Caenorhabditis elegans: one gene and its partners. The protein of the gene in region 2 interacts with the protein of the main gene of each other region in a pairwise test. Each region holds a gene or a part of one and is shown on either strand. Other genes may lie near its edges.

Region 1 (8,074 bases), on a different chromosome or scaffold from region 2:
CATATAACTCTTACTATAACCCTACTAACTTCACTTCATCTCAAAAAAAATTCTGAATTTGTGGAAACAAGAATTTTTATATTTAACCCGAAAGCTTAGTTTTCTTCTTGCTTCGCATGTTCATTTTTTCCAAAAAAAGAACAATGCATATAATTGAAGGTCGCAAAGTTTTGTTCAATGACACCTGTTCGCAAATGATATAATTTTTTTTGTTTTTATGATTGACTATTAATAGTTTTAGAGTTTTGAAAAAAAAATCGCAATTTCTGTGAATATCAAAAAGTCATATCTATTAAGAATAATATAAAGGCTTTTATGCAAACTCTATGTTAGTCTCAACGACATTCATATATTTTTCTAGGTCAAAATTGTCTTTATTATCTGGGTTAAATTCCAAAATTTCAATTTTGTTGTAACTCAAAAAACTTTTGAAATGTTTTCATGAGACTTTTATCTATATTTCCATAAATCAATCTGTCTGAAAAATCTTTATGGACGGTTGTGTACTGTTTTATTTAGTTTCAATCTTCGATTTTTCAAGCTACTATTTAACCCTGTATTGCACACTGTTAGCCGTATACTTATATATTCATTTGTTGATACATTCTAAGTAGATAGGTACATTTTAAGTAAAATAGACACCTAAAAATTACCGAAATTAAGTGCCTAGCAACTCAAAAGGTAAGTAATAAACTGTCAATATATGCAATGAAAAGTGATAGTTCAATTTTTTTCTTGTGGTTTTCATCCGATGTGACATAGACGAGTTGGAGAAATTAGGCATTTTAGCGAAATGTGACTCTTTTCGTGAAATTTCAAACGGCAATAACAAGTTTTGAAAGATTTGGATTTTTTGAGAATGTTCAAACATTACTAAATTTTTCTCTTCTAGACCTCTAGTAAATTAAAGGAGGATTAACGGATCGGACGATTTTAAACGTATTGGCCAAAAATGGGCTCAAATGAACAAATTCCGTAGAGAAACTGATCAAAAAATTTTAAAATTTTTTATGGCGGTTCAAAATGTCAAAAAAAAACACTGTTTTTAGCTAAAATCTCGAATTTTGCCCAGTTTTCTGTGTCGTATCTGTCCGTAGTTGATTTTTTAAAAACTATCATTTTTTGTTGCATATTTTGGTAGTTTATTTTATAATTGCGGCAAGTCGTCAAGCTCCAAATTGATAACTCCACTTTTGATAATTTCAATATGTTCTCTTTTTAGAGGTCTATTTTGCTGAATAGTCTAGTTTTAAGCCAATAATCATACACTAGTTTAAATAGTAAAGTCTTCATGTGTAGTCTGAATCAGTTCAGTATATTTTTTTCGAGGATATTCTATCTTTCGAGGTTTAAGACTTTAACGTCACCGACATAATTCAATTTAGTCTGATTCAGACATTGTTTTTTATAAAACAAAATTGAGCATCACACACCTTTCTAATCGTACAACTGATCTTACCTGTGAAATTTTGATATTACACTGTTTTGCTAATTCCGCCTTTTCCTGGTCGGACGGGTAAGGATTTTGACGATGATCGTGGAACCAGTTTTGCAAAATGTCCGTCGTGTTTTTGTCAAAGTTCCGGCGCTTGCGTCTGAAACAAAATCGGTTTCAGCAACAATTTGTATGATCCATGCGTTAAAGTTAGTTTCAAACGAAATCCGACAAAATGTGATCTGCGTTGTTTTGAATATGAATCCAAATCATGTGAAGAATTAAGTTTGTCTCAGTTTTCAAATTGTTTATTATTGTTACGAATTTCAGATGTTTAGTTCCTAAGCCGATGAACTTTTTCATTTCAGTGTTCATCTGTCTGGAATATCAACGAAGTTTATTAAAAAGCAACATGATTTGAGAACGTATTCCACATCATTTTTTTTTTGAATTTATGATTTTGTATGTTGAGTGTCTTGCAAAACCTAGACCTCACAAGGGACGGAACAAGTAGTCTCACGGAAGTTATTCTAATTTCGGATTAATGTCAACTAGCGTAATGTCTACTTGCAAATTAAAATGTTAGGTAATGAGATATGATAGTAATATATGTAATAATGGTGGAATATCCAAAAACTCACCCCTGCTGCTCGATCTCCCTCCGGAGAACTAGAATTTTAGTTGCTGCCTCCCCGCGAATGTTATTTTTCGAATGCTCGAACCTTTTGGAAATGCTTTGCCGAATGTTAGAGAAATCCTGAAACATTTTCAATAATCTTCGTGAATTTGGACCTAATGAAAACACATTGACTTTGTTAGCATTTAAAAAAGTTCATATTTTGTGTATTATATGTGACATTTGTACGGGTTTCTACATATTTATCATGGTTTGTGTTTGTTTTTTACGGGAAATTGTGAATATTGAATTTTGCACGTAAAATTATAATCCTAACTTAAAAAAAAACAAATTTATAATGAAAAAAATTTGATCTGATCTTGCGTTAAATCTCAACAAGTGATGATCTCGATCGTTTCAAAAATTGAAGAAAAACCAAAATGGATTAGTTTTCTTTTTTTTGGATTACAGTAGGATTCAGAAAAACTGACTTTTGTTCAGAAAAAGTCATTCAAAAGTGTAAAATTCACAAACAACAAATTAATAAGCTGGTTGTTTTCTATTCTTCTATTCGTTCGCCTGACTTTTCAACTTCAGTTTTGTGTTTTGTTATTTTTTTTTTGCTCTCTAATCTCAAATAATAATCTCGATATCTCTTCTACAAATTAATATAATTATTTTACCTTTTCGTCGATCGGTCTAAAATCGCGATGATTTCTGAGTACTTCTTCGCTATTAGTCAGGGCTTTTTCCATATCCTGAAATATTCTGAATTAAATTTGAAAAGTATTTACAAATCAAAAATCGGATTTAAAGCTTCTCACAAGCTTGAGTAAATGTCAAATTTTGTTACGCCTACCGCATCAGTTTGTTTTTTTGAAAATATGAAATATCACCTTGTCCAGTTGAATTTGTTTCATGATAGTGTCTTCTTTTATACGGTTAATTCCGTCCAAATATTTCCTTTCTAAGGGTTGCCATTCCTCGTCTTTCTCAGTGTTGACCTCTTCCAACGGAAATGTAGGATTTTCGAATTGAGCCTACAATTTTTGTTGCTTGTCTAATTTTTCAGTTCTAATGATTTGTTTTAAAAGAGTACAGCCAATGGGGTAATAATTTTAAACCAGTTTGTGGCGCTGAAATGACCGAATATCATACTAAATCTTCTCAAAAAAATTCTGATAATTTTTTATGTCGGGTCAAAAAGTGAGATTGCACCACTTATCGAGAAATTTGAAATAGTGTCGTTTTTTCAAACCCAAACAGTGTTGGAATATAAAAATTGCAAACACAATAGTTCATAGACCGTAGAACTGAAAGAAACTGGTGTTTAAATGAATGACAACTTCCAAAAAATTTGTGAAAACAGCGATTTCACGATTTTTTGACTTGAATTAAAAATTTGCCAAAATCGTTTGAATCTTTTACTATACTATATGGTTATTTTAGCTCCGTAGTATTAGTGTAAATCCTTTCAACATAGAATAAGCTTCATCTTTCAATTGAAAAATGTCACAAACTATTTCATGTAACTTTAAAAACTTATTCACTCACGAGAATTTCCTCAATTTCGGAGGATTGTTCATCTGTATCATACAACGCAACCAAGTTCATCCGAGAGCCTGAAATGTAAATGTGTTAATTTCTGATCCATTTCATACTTCCGTTTTTTTATTATTTTTGAAACTTCAATTTGTTTAAACTAGAGAGTCTTTTCGCTATATCATAGTCATAAACTTTTGATTCTGTAAAAGACCACCGGATGTGACCTTCACCTTTTCTAAATCTGCATAACTTTTTGATTTTTCATTCTTTGCTTACGTAAAATGTCTTTTCTTTCAAGTAGCACTTCGTGAAGCATCCGGCGACAGGGATTCATTTCGATGCATTTTCTGCAATTTTTTAATATAAGTTTTTACTATTTCAGCGGTAACAAAAAATAATGATCATCACTTCACTAATAGTTCTCTAGGGGTGTAAACTTAATCAGCATCTACTGTTATGATTCATATGTCACATCATTTGTAAGATGACTCGAACTGAAAACTGTCTCACCTATTCCCTGATGTTTTTCTAAAATTTTCTAGGAAGATGACCTGTTTAGATTCACCTCCCGACCCAGTTTATAAGAAATATAAAAATCGGTATCTGAATCAGGTTCTCTCATTTCTATAAATTTTCTTCAATCACAAACTACACTTCTTACGATGCCTAGACGAATCTCTGATCTGGATGTTTTGCAGATCATATGTATTAGTCATTTATATCACTTATGAAAACATTCAAACTATAGAATATCAAACAATCAAGATTTGCCTAAACCCAACTAAATTTTTCTTCTTTTTTGCTTTTTTTCTTAGAAGTTTATTCCTATCTAATACCGTTTAGATGTACATTTTTGAAAAATAGGTCATGCCAACATCTATTAAACAGTGTTCTTTTCATAGAGGTCAATTTATTTTTAAATCCTGTTTTGCTGCTCAAAAGTTTTTTTTTTAACTCACTCAATAAAATTCCTGTCGACGTTTTCACTTGAGACGCTCATTTGGAGCTGCTTAATAAGATTATCCATCTCTCAAAGATCGGTGTGATGCACTCGGTTGTGAACGCAACAACACAGAGCTGTGATGTGTCTAAATACAATTTTGAAAAATCACGAAAAAAAAAAACTAAAATAGGTGGTACGAATTCTGTCTAGGTTTTTTCTTTTCTATTCATCGGTGTAATTTGATAAAAACTGAGTTTAATTTCATCATTTTTTATAGATCATTACTAAGATATGAATTTGAAAAAAAAATCCTGTCAAGTTTACTTGTTAATATGCATAGAAATGTTTTATTTATTATTTTATGTTTTACTAAATGTTACAAAAAAATTTTATACATAAAATTAAAAAATCCAAAAATGTGTTCAATAAATGAAAATAACTGTACAGTAAGACTACCACTAGTAGCTCGTAGATTTGGGTTATTGATATTGTTAGAGCAAACATTATTATTGGATTACTGTCATTTGGGCCGCCTTTTCTGTCGCTCAAATTCATAAGGATAAATGTTGACTTATTACGTGACACCTCTTCCTTTTCCCTTTCTACACAAAAAGAAACCGAACCCAAATTTGTGTCATAGCAAACACTTCACTAATCTCATTAGATGATTTTAATTGTCATATATTACGAAATCAGGAAAAATTGGAAAATTTCAAAGAGAAAACGATATGGAAAGCGACGGAAAAAATAATTGAACAACCACGTTCAACTGATAAAAGAACGGTTCTAGTGGTTTTTTCTTCCATGCTCAAGTGCACCATGTACACTGATAACACCATTCCCCAAATGTTGCGATTTCTTTTCAATTACATGCCAATCACCGAAACTCAATTTAAGTATTGCATTTGGATAGTTTTTTTGTTGCATATCTACCTGATGTTTCAAAACTTGTGTATAAAAACTAGATAATACAATGAAAGTACAACAGCACACAAGGTACCCATGGGAATCCGAAATCGTAGTAGAACTTTGATTGTGTAGTAAAATGCCAAACCATTACACTTGTTCTTTCTCTTGGCTTATTACTCAACGGTAAATATCATCAAGGATTATGTTTTCACAACTGAAAAACATGCGAGCACATTTTTTATATTTTGTAATATATCATACACTTGCTCATGTTTTTATGACTATCAGTTAAATGGATCAGCTAGCTGAAGTGAGGATAATACCATTAGTTTTGCAAGGCCACTATTTGATCGTCTTGAACTTTACAGTAGTTAGTTATGACTCCATCAGATGCTTCACATAAAACAAACAATTATTTCTTCAATTTTACATTTGTGTTCAAAATATTCTTATTTTAACACTGTAAGTAGTTAAACAATAATTAACCCTTTTTTATCTCAAAAAAATTCAAAAGTATTTTGAGAAGTTTTATCAAGACATTTAGTCTTTTCAGCACTATAAAAATGGTTATTAATCTTTTTTTGCATGTTGTCAACTTTTAAAAGTCATACAACTTAAAACGGAACAACACTCGTTGTTATAAATTACTATGTCGCTAAAACAGAAATTTCCACTAATTACAGATGTTGTTGAGCTAGTATTCAGTTCAAATTGTTTTTATGAATTACTAATTATTGTTGTTATAATTCAGTTTAAAATAAAGGGAAAAATAAAAACGTTTGAACAATCAAAAAATAAATCAAGTGATTGCTCGAGAGAAATACACGCGAGAACTCGTTTTTTTTAGAATTTCAGAAGCTGAGAATTTTTGTTTGCAAAATTATTCTATCGTTTCGCGTATACAAGTCGTCTTATTACTATTTTTGTTTTTGGTTTTTTCGTACAGATTTGTACGTCTGTAAAAAATCAATTTTACACAAAAGCCCCCCCTAACGCGGCTCAAATTCTAAATCTAGGTAAAAAAATGTACACATAATTAAAAAAAATCCATATCGAATTCCATAAGACGTTCTTATCAAGAGTAGGGAACTTTTTTATAACTTACAACAATTTCAAGTAAACAAATTTTTAATTTCTTTTCGTAATTTTTGTTGGTCACATGCTACAGGACCACGCTCAGTGGTGCCCTGAAATGATGCAATTTTTTCACGTGCCAATAAAAATCTTGCTCAGAGTCAGAGCAAGAAAAACCAGCGGCAAAGAGATGATATCAATTGAGAACAAAATAGAGAAAAGTAAGAAAAATTAAGTGTTTTTTTTTTCAGTTAATATGTGTTCTGAAGTTTTTCCTTGTTTCACAGTCACTTGTTAGCTGTCTGGATATTCTCACGAGGTGTCGTTTGTTTTGTCTGACCACCTGTTTGGATACGATAGATAATCAAAAAGCATCACTTTATAACTTTTAAAAATCTTTGGTTTTTTTACTTTATTCAGACAAGTTTTGAACTTATCAAGTTAATTAAGTTAATTTTCGGTACTTTTCCGATTTCTGCCCCCCCAAAATGTTTCGATATTTTCATTAATGAAACGTGAACTTTTTTGTAATTTCAGGCTTAGTATTGTTTTTTCTAAGCCTAAAAATTTGAAATAGTATTAAAATAAACATTCACGTGTGAATTTAAATTGAAATATTGAGTAAAACATATTTTGGGGGGCAAAAATCGGAAAAGTACCTAATTTTCTTCCAAATTTTGAAGTGAAAACATTTTTTTTAACATATGTTGAATACTCAATCTAAAAAATAGGTTATTAACAACAGATAAAAAAGTTAACTTCCTTAAACTTTTCATCCTCGGGAGACTAAATATTTTATCACGAATGATCAGTTTTCTTCTTTCTGCTCTGTTTTGAAAAGTTTGCTGGTAATCTGAAAATGATATTTTTCCCAACTTCTGTCTTGAGCTCAACTTGAGAACGAAAAAGACCAACTTTGTTTTTAAGCCTGAAATAGAAATGTGGAAACACCGAGATAAAGTTGCTACCTACACCCGTTATGATCCTCACAGAAATCTTGTGATCTTTAATTTTCCGGTTGCGTAGGTTTTAAAATCAAGTTTTCAAAACATCTCAGGTCTGCGAACAACAGTTCCTATCACTTCATAATGTACTTTGTTGACAATTCGAGATTATCATTTAATATCATTCGAGCTGTTCGTTCCGCAACCTTTTCGTGCAAATCCATCTCACGATTATTTTAATCCGAAAGTATCGTAAACATCATGCATCATCGAGCAGACAAATTGAAAGCCTTGTTTATTCTCACCAGAGGCAAAAAGAATATAAAACTAGATCATAAAACGGGTCAACTTATTTTAAGATACAACCTATGACATAGATGGTGGTCTACTTAGACCTTTACAAATTTAGAAAACGATATGCTTGTTCTCATAAATTGTTCACTCTGACATCATTTTAAACCCACTGACCTCTTCGCCTACTCAATTATTTTTCAAAACGTTCGCATTTTTTCGCAACCTATGTTTTGAAAAGCTTATAAACAAGTTTGATATCCTTTCTACTTTGATTTTAAATAAGCTTTATTGATTCATATATATTCTTATTTTGA
Region 2 (6,703 bases):
GGCAAGAAGCTAGAGCCAAATGCCGAGATAATAAGCTCCGCCCACATAATGGCTCAGCTTTTCAGGGAGCATGGCCTTCATACTCGGTGTGACTATTCTCTTGTCACTGCCCACGCAAACTTGCTGGAAGACATGGAGAAGCTGGAAATTGAGTCCGATGGAGTTTTAGTAGAGGTTAAGAATATTTATTATATATAATTTCAGTACAACAAGTTATAGGTACCAGTAAAACGTCCGAAATATTCAGCGCCAAAACCAGTGGTTTTCTGTATAGCCCCACAATTTGCTGCAGAGCAGTGGCAGACTTTTCTGGTGCAGCTGCATGTTTCGAAGCGGTTACACTAGAATTGCAAATTTTTATGTCAAAAATCAAATTTTCAGATACGGAGCTCATCTACAACTGTACGTGGTATCTATGGTAGAGTCCTACTTCAACTTGCTCAAGGAACATGAAAAGCTGGGGCTTGTATCCATTGAACCTTGGCTCACAATTAAGTTCTCTACCACAGATGAACCATATTTGGAGCCAAATCGTAACGTGGAGCTCAGAAATCAGGCGGCTGCGCACACTGATTGTATTCTCATGTATAAGGAGGCTGTAAGCTTTATTGGAGTTCTTGACATGGATGATATACTTATTCCAACAAATGCCAACTCTTACTACGAGGAGTTCGAGAGAGAATATGCCGGAAGCTGGGAGATTAGTGCACTTCACTATGACAAATTTGACTATAAAACTATAAAAACTTCGGTACTGGACTCTAAGAAGACTCTAAACATAAGTTCAATGATTAAAAATTCAAAACGACTGAAAACAAAAGACGAAGGAAAGTCGTTCTTCCGCCCGGAGAGATTGAATTCTACGTGGTCTCATTATTCACTTAACTCGGATGATCGTCCAATTTATTTGACAAAAAAGCAGAGGAAACCTATTTATCGAAAAATGAAGTACATATATAATAATGGAATATTTCATTTGAAACACATGGTTTTCGTAAACTCAAGTAATGTTCGGGAAGGAGTTATACCGATTAATCCAGGAGATAATATTACTGAGTTGATTAGTGAAAGACATTTGAAGGAGATCGATGAGGATTTTTTGAGGTTTGAATTTTTAGACCTATTACTTCTTACACGTGGTGCCAGGCTGTCCCATCACGGTTTGATCTACAAAAAATGCGGGAAATTTTTGCCCAAAAATGAGACGTCAGCACGTTCTTAACCATGCGAAAGCAGTTGAAAACTCTGCCGCAATTTTTGTAGAGCTAAGTAGATCAAGCCAAAATGAGACACTCTGGCACCACGTGTTATTATGGTTGTGTCGATTTACGGGCTGCCGGCTCGATTTACGAAATGAAATCATTTATTTTTGGAATATTAAAGTTATGCAAAAGATTGAGAAAATAATACGAAGAACGAGCCCGTAAATCGACAACAGCGATACAGTATTCATTTAAATAATTACTGTAGTTTTCGCTTCGAGATATTTTGCTCGTCAAATATGTTGCGCAATACGCATTCTCAGAATTCAGTGTTCCTGTAATAATATGAGCACGCAAGATAATGTGCTCAGCCTCATAATTTGGGTCTCGTTGGGTATTAGCGGCAGAATCGTAAGTGCAAACATTTTCAGCCAATTTTTACGTGTATTCATGCATTTTTAAAAAATAATTTTTGATAATTTTCAAACCTAAATTGGTGAAAAAAATTCAAATTAGATATTCATTTTTTCGACATACCTAGTTCACGGGGCCTTCCTCGTTGAATTTTTCGCGCTCCATTGACAATCGCCTGCCGGACAACGCGTGGGAAAGTCGTTTACTCCACACGGACAAATACATTTAGTTTTACAACTAAAAACGAGCCGCGACGCGACACGCAACGCGCCGTAAATCAACCCCAGATATGGCCGAGTCAAAATGGCCTAGTTCGGAAAACTCTTCCATTTCAATTTATGAGGGAAGCCAGAAATCCGTGCTAATTCCGCCGCCAATACGTGACAAAACTCAAATCATTGTGAAAAAAATTTAGAAAAAAAACCACTTTTTATAAGCCATACGCGAGTTTTCGCAAATTTTAACAAAGAAAAACACGGTACCCGGTCTCGACACGACCAGTTTTTGTAAATGCGGTGTGCGCCTTTGAAGAGTACTGTATTTTCAAAAACTCTGGTTTTTTTATCGATATTTCATACCTTACGCAGCAACCCGAGTTTAAAGTTACAGTACTCATTAAAGGCACACACTTGCATTCAACAAAAATGTGTCGTGTCAGGACCGGGAACCACAATTTCAAAAGTTCAAATTTTAAAAAATTTCAGCACAATTTCCCAGCCAGAATTCACCAGCTTAACCTCCTCTCTGCCCAAAGATGATTTTTATACGAACATCGTATTCCAGTGCTATAATCAATCATTTTATCACATTCGAGACGCCGGCCTTCTTTCTGCAGAATCCACGTGTGTAAATGCTTTTGATTGTGAGCTTTCACAACGAGAAGCGATGCCGTGTACCCATTCAGATGCCACGTATCACTCCGGGCCGCCCATGTTTCCAATCACATTCCATTGGGCGAGTGATGCATTCTTTAGTGATGAGATTGGATGCTATCAGTAATTGGATCTTTTTTTTAATCAAAATAATGTATTAAAGCTTATCGAAAATTGAAAATGTAAATTAACATAACATGAAAATCAAAAAGTGAGCAGTGAGGTAGAACTATAAACATAATGAAGACACTCGAACATCAACGATTACTCAATTTCCGGCTTGATGCGCTTTTCTGGGATCATGGCTGGCTCGGCTGGCTGGATCTGAAAAATTATTTTTTGAAAATTTATCTTTAAAAAAAATGTTTTAATTAGCTACCTGCTGAGCTTTCTTGTAGCTCTGAAGCGCCGTCGCAAGAGCATTCGCACTTTCGATGATTATGACCCATGTGTCGACTTCAGTGATCTGCTGATCGGTGAAAAAATTTCTCTGTAGAATTGTGTCGACTGCATTGTTGAAGAATCTTTTGTACTCGAGAGCTTCTTCATTGGGCTCTGGCTCTGGCTCTGGCTCCAGCTTCAGCTCCAGCTCCGGTTGGGGCGATCCTGAAGCGTCGCGGGAAGATGAGGACGTTGTTGAATTGGAAGTCGACGGCGACAGAGACTTGTTCAAAAGACGATTAAGCTTGAAGCCGGCTCTTTGAATTGGCGATTTCAGCAGTGATCCCGGTGAATTGCCGGATTTCGCAATCGGGTTGGCGTCTCCTGGAGCTCCGGTTTCCTGTATGGCCTTTGCGTGTTCGGTGAGGGCTTTTTTGTTGGAAAACGTCCAGTTACAGCATCCGCAGGTGTATACTTGACCCAAGTAGTGCTCATTTCTCATGTGATCACGGACGGTCTCCTTCAGGTAGAGCTTACGGGCGCACAGCATGCAGGTGTACTCGTCGCTATGCACCAGTTTACGATGGCGGTTGAGAGAAGCGCCGTGCTTGAAGTTTTGGCCGCAGGACAAGCAGAGGAAATCGCCTGAAAAATGGAAAAATTAATGTTTTTTTTTAATTACAAAAAAAAATAAAATAAAACTCACCTCTGAGATCCGGCCGCTTAAGCTCGCTTTCTTCTTTGCGAAGCAGTGACGATTTTTCAGCGAATTCCGTTTCGAAGCGGTCGATAAGGGGCTTGTGATCGGAAGTATCCATGAAGCTGATTTTCTGAAAGAAGAGGACATTTTGAAGAAAAATTTTAGAATTTTACATCAATTTACACTCAAAATAATAAAACTGCGTTGCGTGTACGCCAAAATAGGCCCCGCCTTTTTCTCGTTCACTCACGGGGAAAAGGCAAAAAGCGGCTGGTGTAGCCAATATCAGCAGCCGACATCATTCGAGGTCCGCGCACCACACTATTTTTCTCACTGTTGGCGTGGCGAGCTGTCCCCCCCCTCCCATATTTTTGCCTTTTTCCCGTGAGTGGACGATTAAAAGGCGGGGCCTATTTGGTCGTACACGCAACGCAGTTTTATTATTTTGAGTGTAGAAGAAAAAAGAATTTTTTTACTGACCTACAAAATTTTTGCAAGGATAGTAGACTAAAAAAGCTTCTCACTAATCACATTAATCATATAATTAATAAATAATATTTTTAAACGAAAAAAATCTGTAAAATTAATTAATTCAGGGTCGACGTCGTTTAAAAGTGTTACTTCTTTGTTTCTACGCTTGTAAAGTAGGTTTTCAATCGATTATTTGAATTTATCTTAATTTTTTCTTTATATTTCAAAAAAAAAATACACTGAAAACATGAAAAATCGGTGAAAAATGAGTGAAAATAACAATAAATATTTAATTTTAAATAAAAATAAAAACGTGCAAGCGCGCTCCATCGAACGAATTCTCTTGGCGGTAATTCAAATTGCAGTTCGGGCAAAACTGAGATTTTTCCAATTTTCAAAAAGTCATATAAAATTTAGAAAAAAAAATTGAATTTTTTTACTATGATATTTGGCCATTGTGACACTATAGGCATGTTTTAAAGCAATTTTCCCACTGGCGCTACTTTGTGATTTGATTTATTTCGACATGAAAAAAAAGGAATACAAAACCGGTACAGTAAGTTACTGCAATTTCTTCATTTCAAGACCCATAAATATGCTCAGCCATATTAGCAACTTTATGCACCAGAAGCTTCTCCAGCTCCCTATCCAGCTCGGTTATAGTGAAGTTGTCGCCGTAAATCCAACCATTTCCGATACTATTTCTGACGGAGGTCATTCGGTAGTGTCTGAAAATGTCAGTGTCGATTTACGCGGCTCGTGTACTCCTCGAGGACAAGTGTGCGTTTTTTGGCAAAAATTTCCTGATTTTTGGCCATTTTCGGTAATTTTTTCTACAGAATTTCCGCCTAAAACACTAAAAAATTAGAAAATTCAGTCTAAAATGCTCACTATTTTCAAAAATAATACACAAAAATCGGCAAGAATTTCAGTAAAAATTCAAAAATCTCTGCAAAAAACAAATGCACACTTCTCCTCGAGAAGTACACGAGCTGCTGCTTGAATTTACATATGACCGTGTTATTATACACACGCGAAACTTTGTGATTTTTGAGCTAAAAATACGATATCTGGTCTCGACACGATAATTTGTATTTTCGAAGAGGTGTGCGCCTTTAAGGAGTACTGTACGTTGGTGGGCTCTTCATAGTTCTTCGATAAAAAATATTATTCTGCAGAAAACAATCGAAAGAAAATTCCACTGCAACAAAAGTTTGCAATTACAGTACCCATTAAAGGCACACACCTTTTAGTATTAAACAAAACATTTTCGTGTCGAGACCGAGTACCATATTTTGGTCCAAAAATCGCAAACTTTCACGTATGTGTAAAACCTACCTAAACCCGGCAGTCTCCCTGGGAACATTTTTCACGATAACGCCGGGATACTGTAGATGAGTGTGATGGTAGGTTTGTACGGCGACCATTTCCGGGCGGTATATACTTTTTGAAGATTCCCAGATTTGAGTTCTAGTAGTGTTCCGGAATTTCAGCGCCTCCAGGTTTTCGATGGTGTCTTGCAGATTGGTGAATTTCTGCGGTGAGTTTTCGGTTTTTTGAATCCGTCGCGCCTGAAATGGATTTCTGGCTTTTCTCTTAAATTGAAATGGAAGAGTTTGCCGAACTAGGCCATTTTGGCTCGGCCATATCTGGGGTAGATTTACGGCGCGTTGCGTGTCGCGTCGCGGCTCGATTTTTGTTGTAAAACTAATGGCATTTGTCCGTGTGGAGTACACGACACTTTCCCACGCGTTGTCCGGCAGGCGATTGTCAATGGAGCGCGAAAAATTCAATGAGGAAGGCCAGAACCCCGTGGCAAGATAGTCAAATTTTATTCGAAAAATTGCGCGCCGCAGATTTGCGGTTTGACTCCGCCCTCTAATTTTTGAATTTTTGCGCGCCATTTTCGTTGTGTCATATTCTACTAATATGTGAAAATTTTACCTGAAAATTCAGCTCCCCAACATTTGCATCCTGGGACCGAAGGAGTTGAATAAGGGTAGTTTCTGGCTGAAACATCACGAATCGCTCGTCAATATCTGCATTTATGACCCATCTTGAGATGTATTTGCTGCGATGGAAACAGTCCTAAAAAGGAAAAAAGTTGAGCATTTTCAAAAATCAAAAAAAAATTAATTCTTGGATCAGGGGTGGGCGGCAAATAATTTTCCCGGCAAATCGGCATATTGCCGGAATTGAAATTTTTGGCAAATCGGCATATTGCCGGAATTGAAAACTTTCAGCAAATCGGCAAACCGGCAATTTGCAGATTTGCCGAATTTGACAGAAAAACGGCAATTGCCGAAAATTTCCGGCAAATTGTGGTTTTGCACATTTTTTCGAAATTTCAGAATTTCAATTTTAATTGGCAAAATTGTGCGCTTTCTATGAATGTTCCTAAATCTATTTGGAAAAGTATGTGAATTCTATAAAAATATCTAAACAAAACGGGAAAAAAATTTCAAAAAAGCACAGTTTGAATTGTTTCCGTCTTATAAAAAATTATTCTAAACACTTCCGGCAAATCGGCAAATCGGCAATATGCCGGAATTGAAAATTTCCGGCAGACCGGCAATTTGCCAATTTGCCGAATTTGTCGACAAAACAGTTTGCCGCCCGCCCTTTTTTGAAAAATCGTGTTTTTTTTGAGACATTGGAAAATC
Region 3 (8,095 bases), on a different chromosome or scaffold from region 2:
ATTTGCTATTCATTTGAAACAAAAGCACTAAATTGTACGTTCCCACTATTTTCAACGCTTCGTTTTCTAGAAGTTTACTGAAAATTTATCTTTTTCACCAGTCCCAATGAAAATTAGAACTATCATAACCTATCCAACTTACCGCAAATGGATTTCTCTCATCACAAAAATTCATTCGAACACACACATCTTTCGAAGAAATATCATAATTAATTGAATAATAGATCTCTGGAAGTGAGGTCTCCACAAACGCGAAACATTGTTCCTGTAAATTTTCCTAACATCTTTTTGGTTTATTCAAAATTCAAAAATGTGAATTATTCGGTCACCTTGAATACAGAAGGAAGTACTCGACATTTCTCATATAATTGATTTCTCAATTGATTCTCCGATAGACCAACTCGATGTTTTGTAACTGACAATAATTGAGTGCACATGAAACATCCCAAGTTAGACGGAGTATTTCCATTTGGAGAAGGAGATGCTCTGTAAATTTGAAATTGTTTCTATGATAAAATCTACTCAACAAATTTTTTTCTGTTTCTTAAATAATATATGTTATTTATCAGTTATCTAAATAATTGATACATATTTGAAAATTCTTTGTTCGACAAGACTAAAAGCATTAAGTAGTTTTAATATTTGAAATCTTTGAATTATTTGAAATTATTTGAAATCATCTCAAAAAAAGAGAGAAAAAATTAATAAAAATGCACAGTATCAAGAATTTTATATATCTAGTTATTCACTATGTGATATATCACATGCTTTAACTTTCTTTCGTTATTATGTGTCAGCAGTCAGGTGCTCTGTGTTAAGAATCAACTAGAAAGTTTAGTTGTATCAATTAATTATGGAAAATTTTTTGAGTTTGAATTTTTTCTTTCAAGATATCCATATTATTATTGTAATTTTTGAAAAATAGTAGGGGATGCACAGATGCACTGAAAATTTGAAATTGCTCTTGAAAGGAGGGTTTCTCAAGTTCGTTGATTTTCTTTGAAAACATGGAAAAAAAGTGACACTCGCATAAACTTTTTAAAAATGTTACTCATTCAAAAAAACCTAAATACAAAATGTACAGTTTCAACAATTTGATATTTAGTGAAATTATTTGAAAATTGATCATTTTTAATCAAAATAAACTCACCTCTCTCTGACAACTGGTTCTTCGTTCCAAAAATATGTAAAAGTGACTTGAAATTGCTGACCTAACACGGCAAAAACGAAAAATAAATTAATTCTCATTTTAAGAAGAGAGTTTGAGATCCGGTGAAAACGGAACTTATTATTATTATTGAAATTCAATGAGTGAAACAGAAACAATTGAAAATAGGAGGAGCTACCCGGGAGCCCAAAATAAAGACAAGAAGAAGAAGACGTCTATGTTCTCTATATTTCGCACCTCAAGCACTGTATTTGGTAAGAGAAGCGCCGAAAGAGCGTGCGAGATGAAGAGACGCAGACACTCGAGATGTGCGAATTTGAGCACCCGAGTTGAGAGCATCGTTTGCACACTTGTGATCCTTCCTCTCGATTGCCTTATTTCGCCACTACCTCCTACTGTATGTGTACTATTATAATTGAACGAAAATGATGAACAAAGGGTTTGGAGACAATCGAATCGTGCTTAAGATCACTTTTTTCATGTCTCAGATGGGATATTAGCTTGAGAATTTTGAGAATTTTTTTGTTGATATTTTTATAAAAGAGGCAAAATTGTGAATAATATTTCAAGAGCAAAACTCTATAAATACATCAAACTTTAGAAAACTGTAAAATACTTTTTTCTTAATTTGTTTTATTATTAATGTTGGAGATGTAATAAAGTTTTCAATAAATCTCGGAAATTCAAAGTGTTATCACTCCTAGAGATGACTTTTTTAATTGGACACTTTGTGAAAATTATCTTCAGAGGAGCATTTTATACTAGAAAAATTGATCTCGCCGTTTTTTTTTAATTAGGCTTTTAAAATGCGAAAATCTTCATTGTCCTAAAATCAGGAGTAATGTTTTAAAATCTGTTGGTAGAAATTTGAAATTTCTTAATCTAAAACTCTTGGCATTTCCTCCTTAAAACTGCTCTCCTGAAGATAAAAATAATCAGCATAACTTTTGCAAAATTCGCATATCAATAATTTTTAGTAAATCTTTTGAAGTTTTCAGAAATAAAATCAACTACCATAATTGAGAAAATCATATTTCTAACTTTCAAATATATAAAACAATTAACAGAAACAAATGTAACAATTAATTCACACAAGAACAGAGTTAAGTATTTTAAAACATCCCAACAGAAGATGAGGAACATTATTGATAAGATTGATGCTGGTACTTAACAATAAATTGAACCATGCTATAACTTTGAAAAAGAATCGACATTTTTATATTTTAGAAGTTATGATTGGCGTAAACGAGATGAGCAGCAAAATCATATTTTCCATCGCATAGGCTTCCACAAAGTGAGCATTTGAACGGAATATCATCTGAGTGGAGTCCACTGTGCAAATACCACATCACTTTGTCATCGAATCTGATTTTACAGTAATCGCAGTACTGAAATAATTGTTTTTTTACAAAATACGTTTTTTCCCAGAGGTACATACCCAGCTCTCTGGACCATCCAACTCTTCTTCTTCGGGAGTTTCGATTTCCGTAGATGGTGTTGGAGACAACTCTTTTGCGGATTTTACAGATCTAGAGCACTGTGGCAATGGGGCTTGTGAAACAGTGCTATGAAGCGGCTGAAAATATTATGTTACCAGTTGAAAATTCAATTTCAAATTTCTTACAAAGAGTGGTGCGATTTCAGTTTTGAAAAAGTCAAAGATTCTATCAAAATCATCTGGATTCTTGATGGGGTTCAAGATTGAAGTAGTGGATTTTGGAAGAATTGGAGCAGGTTTGAAAGAGAAGAATTTCTGAAAACTAAGGAGATTTATATATATCTACCAAAATCCAATCTATACATAGTGCACGTCTGACTTTAGTAGAGATTTTGTAGAAATAGCGAAAAAGTATTTTGAAATTCAATTCAATTATGTGGAGAAGTTCGAGTATAGTGAATTCTATTTTAGATCAATTTTTCTAATGTTTTGAAGCTTTCAAGTATTTTCGATTGCAAGACCCAACGGTTTTCAAAATTTTACTTTTAGTCTCAAATGAAAAGTTTAGTCAACATTCGGCAAGAATCGGATCAAACGTAGGCTAAACTTAACACATCACAGCTATAACCTACTCGTAAGCAAGTAGCTGATGTAAAATCCAAATAAAAACAGTGTGTGCTTCAATTCTTCCACAGAAAAAAGTACTCACCGTATGATCCAGGTGTGCAGTATGAAAATGAAGCAGAAGACGATGGGAACTGTTGAACCATTTGATGCAAGATTTACATTTAGCTGGAGACGATCCTCTTATGATATGCTCCGAATCTACATGAAACTGCAAACTCGTGAAGCTGTTGAACTTTGAATTGCACGCTGTGATGGGACATTCAAAGGTATTTCCTTTCTTGATATGGGTCATCATGTGCTCTTTCATCTGAGTTGGATTAAAAGTTGAAGAGATTGTTTTCTAATCTGTTTAATGTTTCAAGAAATAATGCTTAATGCTTTATACTACTAGAAAGCTCGATCTTTCTCAAAGTATATTTGAAAATACAACTTTTCTTGCATAACTGAAACTTTCATATAAAAAACTGATGGTCAGATCTGGAAAAAGTAAACGACTTTTAACAATCTTAACTTTGTTTTCAATAAAAATATTTAAAACAAAGCTTTTAAATTTTCTCTAGCTAACAGTAAATTAAAGCCAACGTATCAGTACACATCCACAGAAAAATAATTCCCCTACATCATTTGGCATGCTGGGTGCTAATTCTCTTTTAATTTTTTAGTGCTTTGGCATTAAACATTTATTTTTGAACAGATTCGCAAATCACAGATACCAGTAATCGTAAATTGCATTCAGTGATTATTAAAAACATCATGAAACACATAATTAAAATTTTTGTGTCAATTTCTGAAAATCAATAACACAGATTGTTTCATTCTGCTTTAAATCTGATGTACGAGTGATAAATTGAGTCAACTTTTAGGAAGCTTTTTTCTAGCATTTTTTTTAACGTTTCGACAAAAAAATCGAGTTATTTGTAAGCGTTTGGAATAATTTCAAGTAATTAACTTTCGTAAAGTAGGTTACTTAGTGAATTTTTTTGGTCACTAGAGATAAAGCTTGTACTAAAACGACTAAACTTTATAAAGAAACTTCAATAAAATATCCTCTATACAAATTTATCGGAAAACCACAAGAACTAACCCGATCATTCCGAAAAAAAGGTCTTCTGCAGAACTGACATTCAAACTTCTTTTTTCCACTGTGCATCACCTTATGACGATTCAAGTTTGTCTGAAAAAATATACATGGAAATCAAAATTTTTCTACGATTTTAGTAACTTGTTTTTTGTTGCTTTTCGATTTGAACAATGTTGTAAATTGATAATTAAAAAGAAATTTTCTAAAGATTTGAGTCTTGCGTCTCAGTTTTTCAAGAGCCAAACAAGAAAGTAGTTTACGAAACCATAAGTAACCTGGTAGGCACTTTAGTTTCTACCTATAACCTTTAGTACTCTCCACTCACCTTATTGGAAAACTTCTGGTGACAAATATCGCATTTTTCCATTTTGTAATTTGGAAGCTGGGAGGAATAAAGTCAGAGAGTGTCAGAAAGTGACTATAGGATTTTCTATTCCAAACTTTGGGTGGAGCACAAATTGTTTATAACTTCTCGGGTACTGTCGAAGGTCATTTGGGGGAAATATACAATCCTAGGTGTCAGATATCTTAACAAGTCGGAGAAGAAGCACATCTTCCGACATAACAGATAAGCCGGCTGCCGCTACTTGCCAGATGGTTGGTGACAAACTGGGGTGATATATAGTCAGAGGTCACTTTCATGATTTGGAAGAGAAGGTAGCAAATATAGTGGACAAATTGATATTAAATTACAATTGGGGTCAATTTTAAGAACAGTTACAGTACTTTGGACTGTACGAGTAAAAAAATCCTTTTTTTTTTTTAGAATTAAATTTCCTGTTTCATAGAAAACATTTGTTTGACTGATTTTAAATGTTTCATTCGGTTTTTATTTATCTCTGTAAAGTCTTTTCATTATTGTTAGAATTCAGAATTTTTACAGATTCATGAATTCACTAAAATTTTATGAGTTTCAGGATTTGTTAGTTTCAACAATAGAATCCCCCATCTCCTGCAAAACCGCAAATCACGTGGCGAAAAAAAGCGTTTTGTTCATAGCGTAATGCTCTTCCTTCTTCCTAATACATTAACCATGGCACAAATCGAATAAATTAGCATAATGTGTCCAGGAAGAAGACGACATTGGAAGACGTTTCTGGAGAAAAAGGGAAAAAAGGAAATCAAGTTTTTTCTCTTTTACCTTGGATGTCTGTAATATAGGATTACATGCCGGAAGAAGGTGAAGAGTGCAAAAATATTAGTTTTTAATGGAAAATGCTTTCGATTTTAATGTCAGGAATCGAAGATTCTCCGTGATAAACTTCTGGAAATAATATTTATATTTTTAGTTATCGGCTTTTTGGTGTATGAGATCTGATTTATTCAGTATCCAAAGATAGCTGGAGAGGTCTTACTCAAGAAAATGTTTTCATTTATTTTCAAAAAAATATCACTGTTTCAACAAACCCTTAAAATCAAGCTATAAAAGGCAGAAATGTTTTCAATCGAGATAAATAGGCTCTGATATTTTTTCAGATCTGAAAAATAACTATGAGTTTGATGGAAAGAATGAATGCCATTTTTCAAATTGAACACGTTTCAAATAGTCCATAAAACAGTTAACAATTAATTAATTTTAATCGGGATCATGCTCGACCTCTAAACGTATTATTTCCAAAATTATCCGGTGAAGATTTAGATAAAATATTTAAAAATCCGTCACATTTTTTTCGCATTTTCCGAAAATTTCACAGTTTCAACATAGCTAGAAATTAAATGTATTTTAAATTCAAACTGATTGCAACGGAATTTTAAATGTGAAATATTCAAATGTTTTTAACGTCCAACAAAACCACTGTTTCCTCTGTTTACAGTTTCTAAAGTAGTCCAAAAACCGAAAAATGAAAAAGTTTTGATTTTATTCTCTACTTATTTTTTTGCTATTTTTCATCTTGTACCTTCTACATCATCACTAATTCTGTCTAATGCTCTTGTTGCTCTTCTTCTTCCTCTGCTCATGTTGTTACTTTTTCCTAATTCCCAGCTTTTTTCTCTCTGCTTACCAGTCTAAATAATAAAAATGAGAAATCATAAATACTAAGTTGAAACAAGATACTGCAAAAGTGATATGAAATTAGTTTTAGTGATGTAAATCTTTAACTGTTTCAATATCCTTGTAACTACAGTATACTATAGTATTGATAGTTTTGATAGACTTCCTTAACGCTAGGGCATATTTATGTTTAGTGGTTCTTCAAACAAAAAAAACGTCGCGGGTAGAATATTGACTTTCTTCTCCAAATCTTTCAAATATTTTTAAAATTTGACTTTAACGATTTGAGCCGCCTATTTCACAGCAGCTTTACCAACAATCCGCTCACAATTATGAAAATAAAAATGAAAAAAGGATTACCCCTTAATTCAAATTTTTCCCGGGGTCTATAAATGTTGCACAAAGTTGTTGGAGCGGGACCTCTTGGGAACCATAGGCTCCGCTCAAAAAGTGCCGTGCGCTAGATAGTGTTCTTCATGACGTCACTGGAACAAATATAATTTTTTAATAAATTTTCGTTGAGTGAAATTGTAGAAATTTGCTTGAGTTTTTCAAAAAAAAAAACGACATGAGAATCGATTTTCATGAATCCGTGTTTAATTTTTTTTCGGTTTCATTTTTTTCTTAAAATGCCAAGCAGCACAGCATTAATGGATATGCTTTGAAATGTTTTAAATTAAGAATAGGTATTTTATTCCCTTAAACGCTAAATTAGTTCGCAACAAGTGTACAAAACCACTACTGTAATCACACTGTTCTTAAAAATGTAAAAACTATTTTTCATTAAATGGATTTAGCGGAAAATATACAGTTAACTCCACGGCATTGCAGAAATATGTTTAAAAAAAAGTACAAAAAAAGTCGAAAAAATCCATCGAAAAAAAGATAAGTGGAAGAAAGGCGGAGCCTGTTTTTTTGAATTTTTTCAAATTTTTAAAAGAAATTTCAGACGAAAGTTCTACAATTCATGACACTGTATAAAAAAATTAGCCTCAAAATTGTCTGGGCACCCATTAATACTATAACCAAAATTTGAAAATTGTTATTTTCATCGGATGCGTAAATTGAATTTCCGTTCTTCTTTCTCTTTCTCATCATTTTACATCCGAATACCCATTTAAAATTCGAGAAATCCCGCGCCGCCGACAAAAAACTTTGTTCCATTTCCTCATTCTTCCTGTACAGAGATTGGTGTTGTTTTTTGCCATCTGCACCCCCATTTTGTGTCTGTCTCACTCTTTTTGTGCTTCTTCTTTTCTGAAATAATTGTATAATTTCTCCTTCTCTCCTAAATCGCATTTTCCCATTCTCGCCTCTCCCTTACTTCTTTGCTGACAAGGCTCAATGTTCTCTTTTTTGTCGTATTTTTCTAGATTAGAAGGACCTTCTTTTTGTTTTGTCTGTCTATTATCTTTCATAATGACCAGAAATTGAAAAGAACAAAATATTTCAATTGAAATTAGTAACAGGAATAGCAACCACATAATGCTACAGTATAACATGTGACTTTGAAACAGTAATTTTTTTCAATTTTTTTTTCAAAATTTGATAGCCGCGCCCAACTAATTTGAAGAATTAATTGTTCAATTTTCCACAGAATGGCCACAGTGAAGGGTCTCCAACTTCGCCTATAACATGGGCAAGGCTTTATAGGCTCCGCCCACTAAGTGCCCCATCGAAACTATGAAAAAATAAATTATCACTATTTTTCAACTTCAAGAAAACTTTGACTGTCAAAAAATAGTTTGAAATGTGTTTAAGGGCGTGTTTTTTTATCAAAGATTTAAA

What was found. Proteins that work in one complex are often made in the same cells at the same time.
Region 1: the proteins of ztf-28 (region 2) and ceh-60 interact in a two-hybrid assay, tested with the Caenorhabditis elegans proteins (one large-scale study listed by BioGRID).
Region 3: the proteins of ztf-28 (region 2) and ehn-3 interact in a two-hybrid assay, tested with the Caenorhabditis elegans proteins (one large-scale study listed by BioGRID).

The regions. Positions count from the first base shown.
Region 1 is NC_003284.9:6,525,463-6,533,536, forward strand, and holds the start of ceh-60 (Homeobox protein ceh-60), read right to left. Parts: upstream 4,685-8,074; 5' UTR 4,624-4,684; coding exon 4,556-4,623; intron 3,944-4,555; coding exon 3,873-3,943; intron 3,674-3,872; coding exon 3,606-3,673; intron 3,092-3,605; coding exon 2,948-3,091; intron 2,810-2,947; coding exon 2,735-2,809; intron 2,193-2,734; coding exon 2,077-2,192; intron 1,596-2,076; coding exon 1,460-1,595; intron 1-1,459. UniProt on the Caenorhabditis elegans protein: Probable transcription regulator which binds to DNA, repressing genes involved in longevity and stress, while activating genes involved in reproduction, such as the vitellogenins.
Region 2 is NC_003283.11:2,087,665-2,094,367, reverse strand, and holds ztf-28 (C2H2-type domain-containing protein), read right to left. Parts: upstream 3,700-6,703; 5' UTR 3,688-3,699; coding exon 3,576-3,687; intron 3,515-3,575; coding exon 2,868-3,514; intron 2,813-2,867; coding exon 2,753-2,812; 3' UTR 2,628-2,752; downstream 1-2,627. Other genes in the region: gtnt-26 (Glycosyltransferase family 92 protein), read left to right, coding at 66-174, 220-335, 382-1,104, 2,321-2,615; gtnt-27 (Glycosyltransferase family 92 protein), read right to left, coding at 4,621-4,768, 5,379-5,611, 5,985-6,128.
Region 3 is NC_003282.8:5,414,515-5,422,609, forward strand, and holds ehn-3 (Zinc finger protein ehn-3), read right to left. Parts: upstream 4,709-8,095; 5' UTR 4,682-4,708; coding exon 4,640-4,681; intron 4,408-4,639; coding exon 4,318-4,407; intron 3,949-4,317; exon of another isoform or gene 3,928-3,948; intron 3,655-3,927; exon of another isoform or gene 3,634-3,654; intron 3,541-3,633; coding exon 3,316-3,540; intron 2,973-3,315; exon of another isoform or gene 2,952-2,972; intron 2,922-2,951; coding exon 2,793-2,921; intron 2,745-2,792; coding exon 2,607-2,744; intron 2,557-2,606; coding exon 2,392-2,556; 3' UTR 2,185-2,391; downstream 1-2,184. Other genes in the region: spp-7 (Saposin B-type domain-containing protein), read right to left, coding at 143-277, 330-486, 1,151-1,248. UniProt on the Caenorhabditis elegans protein: Together with the zinc finger protein ztf-16, plays a role in gonadogenesis, specifically in somatic gonad precursor cell development. This is possibly by regulating tra-1 gene expression.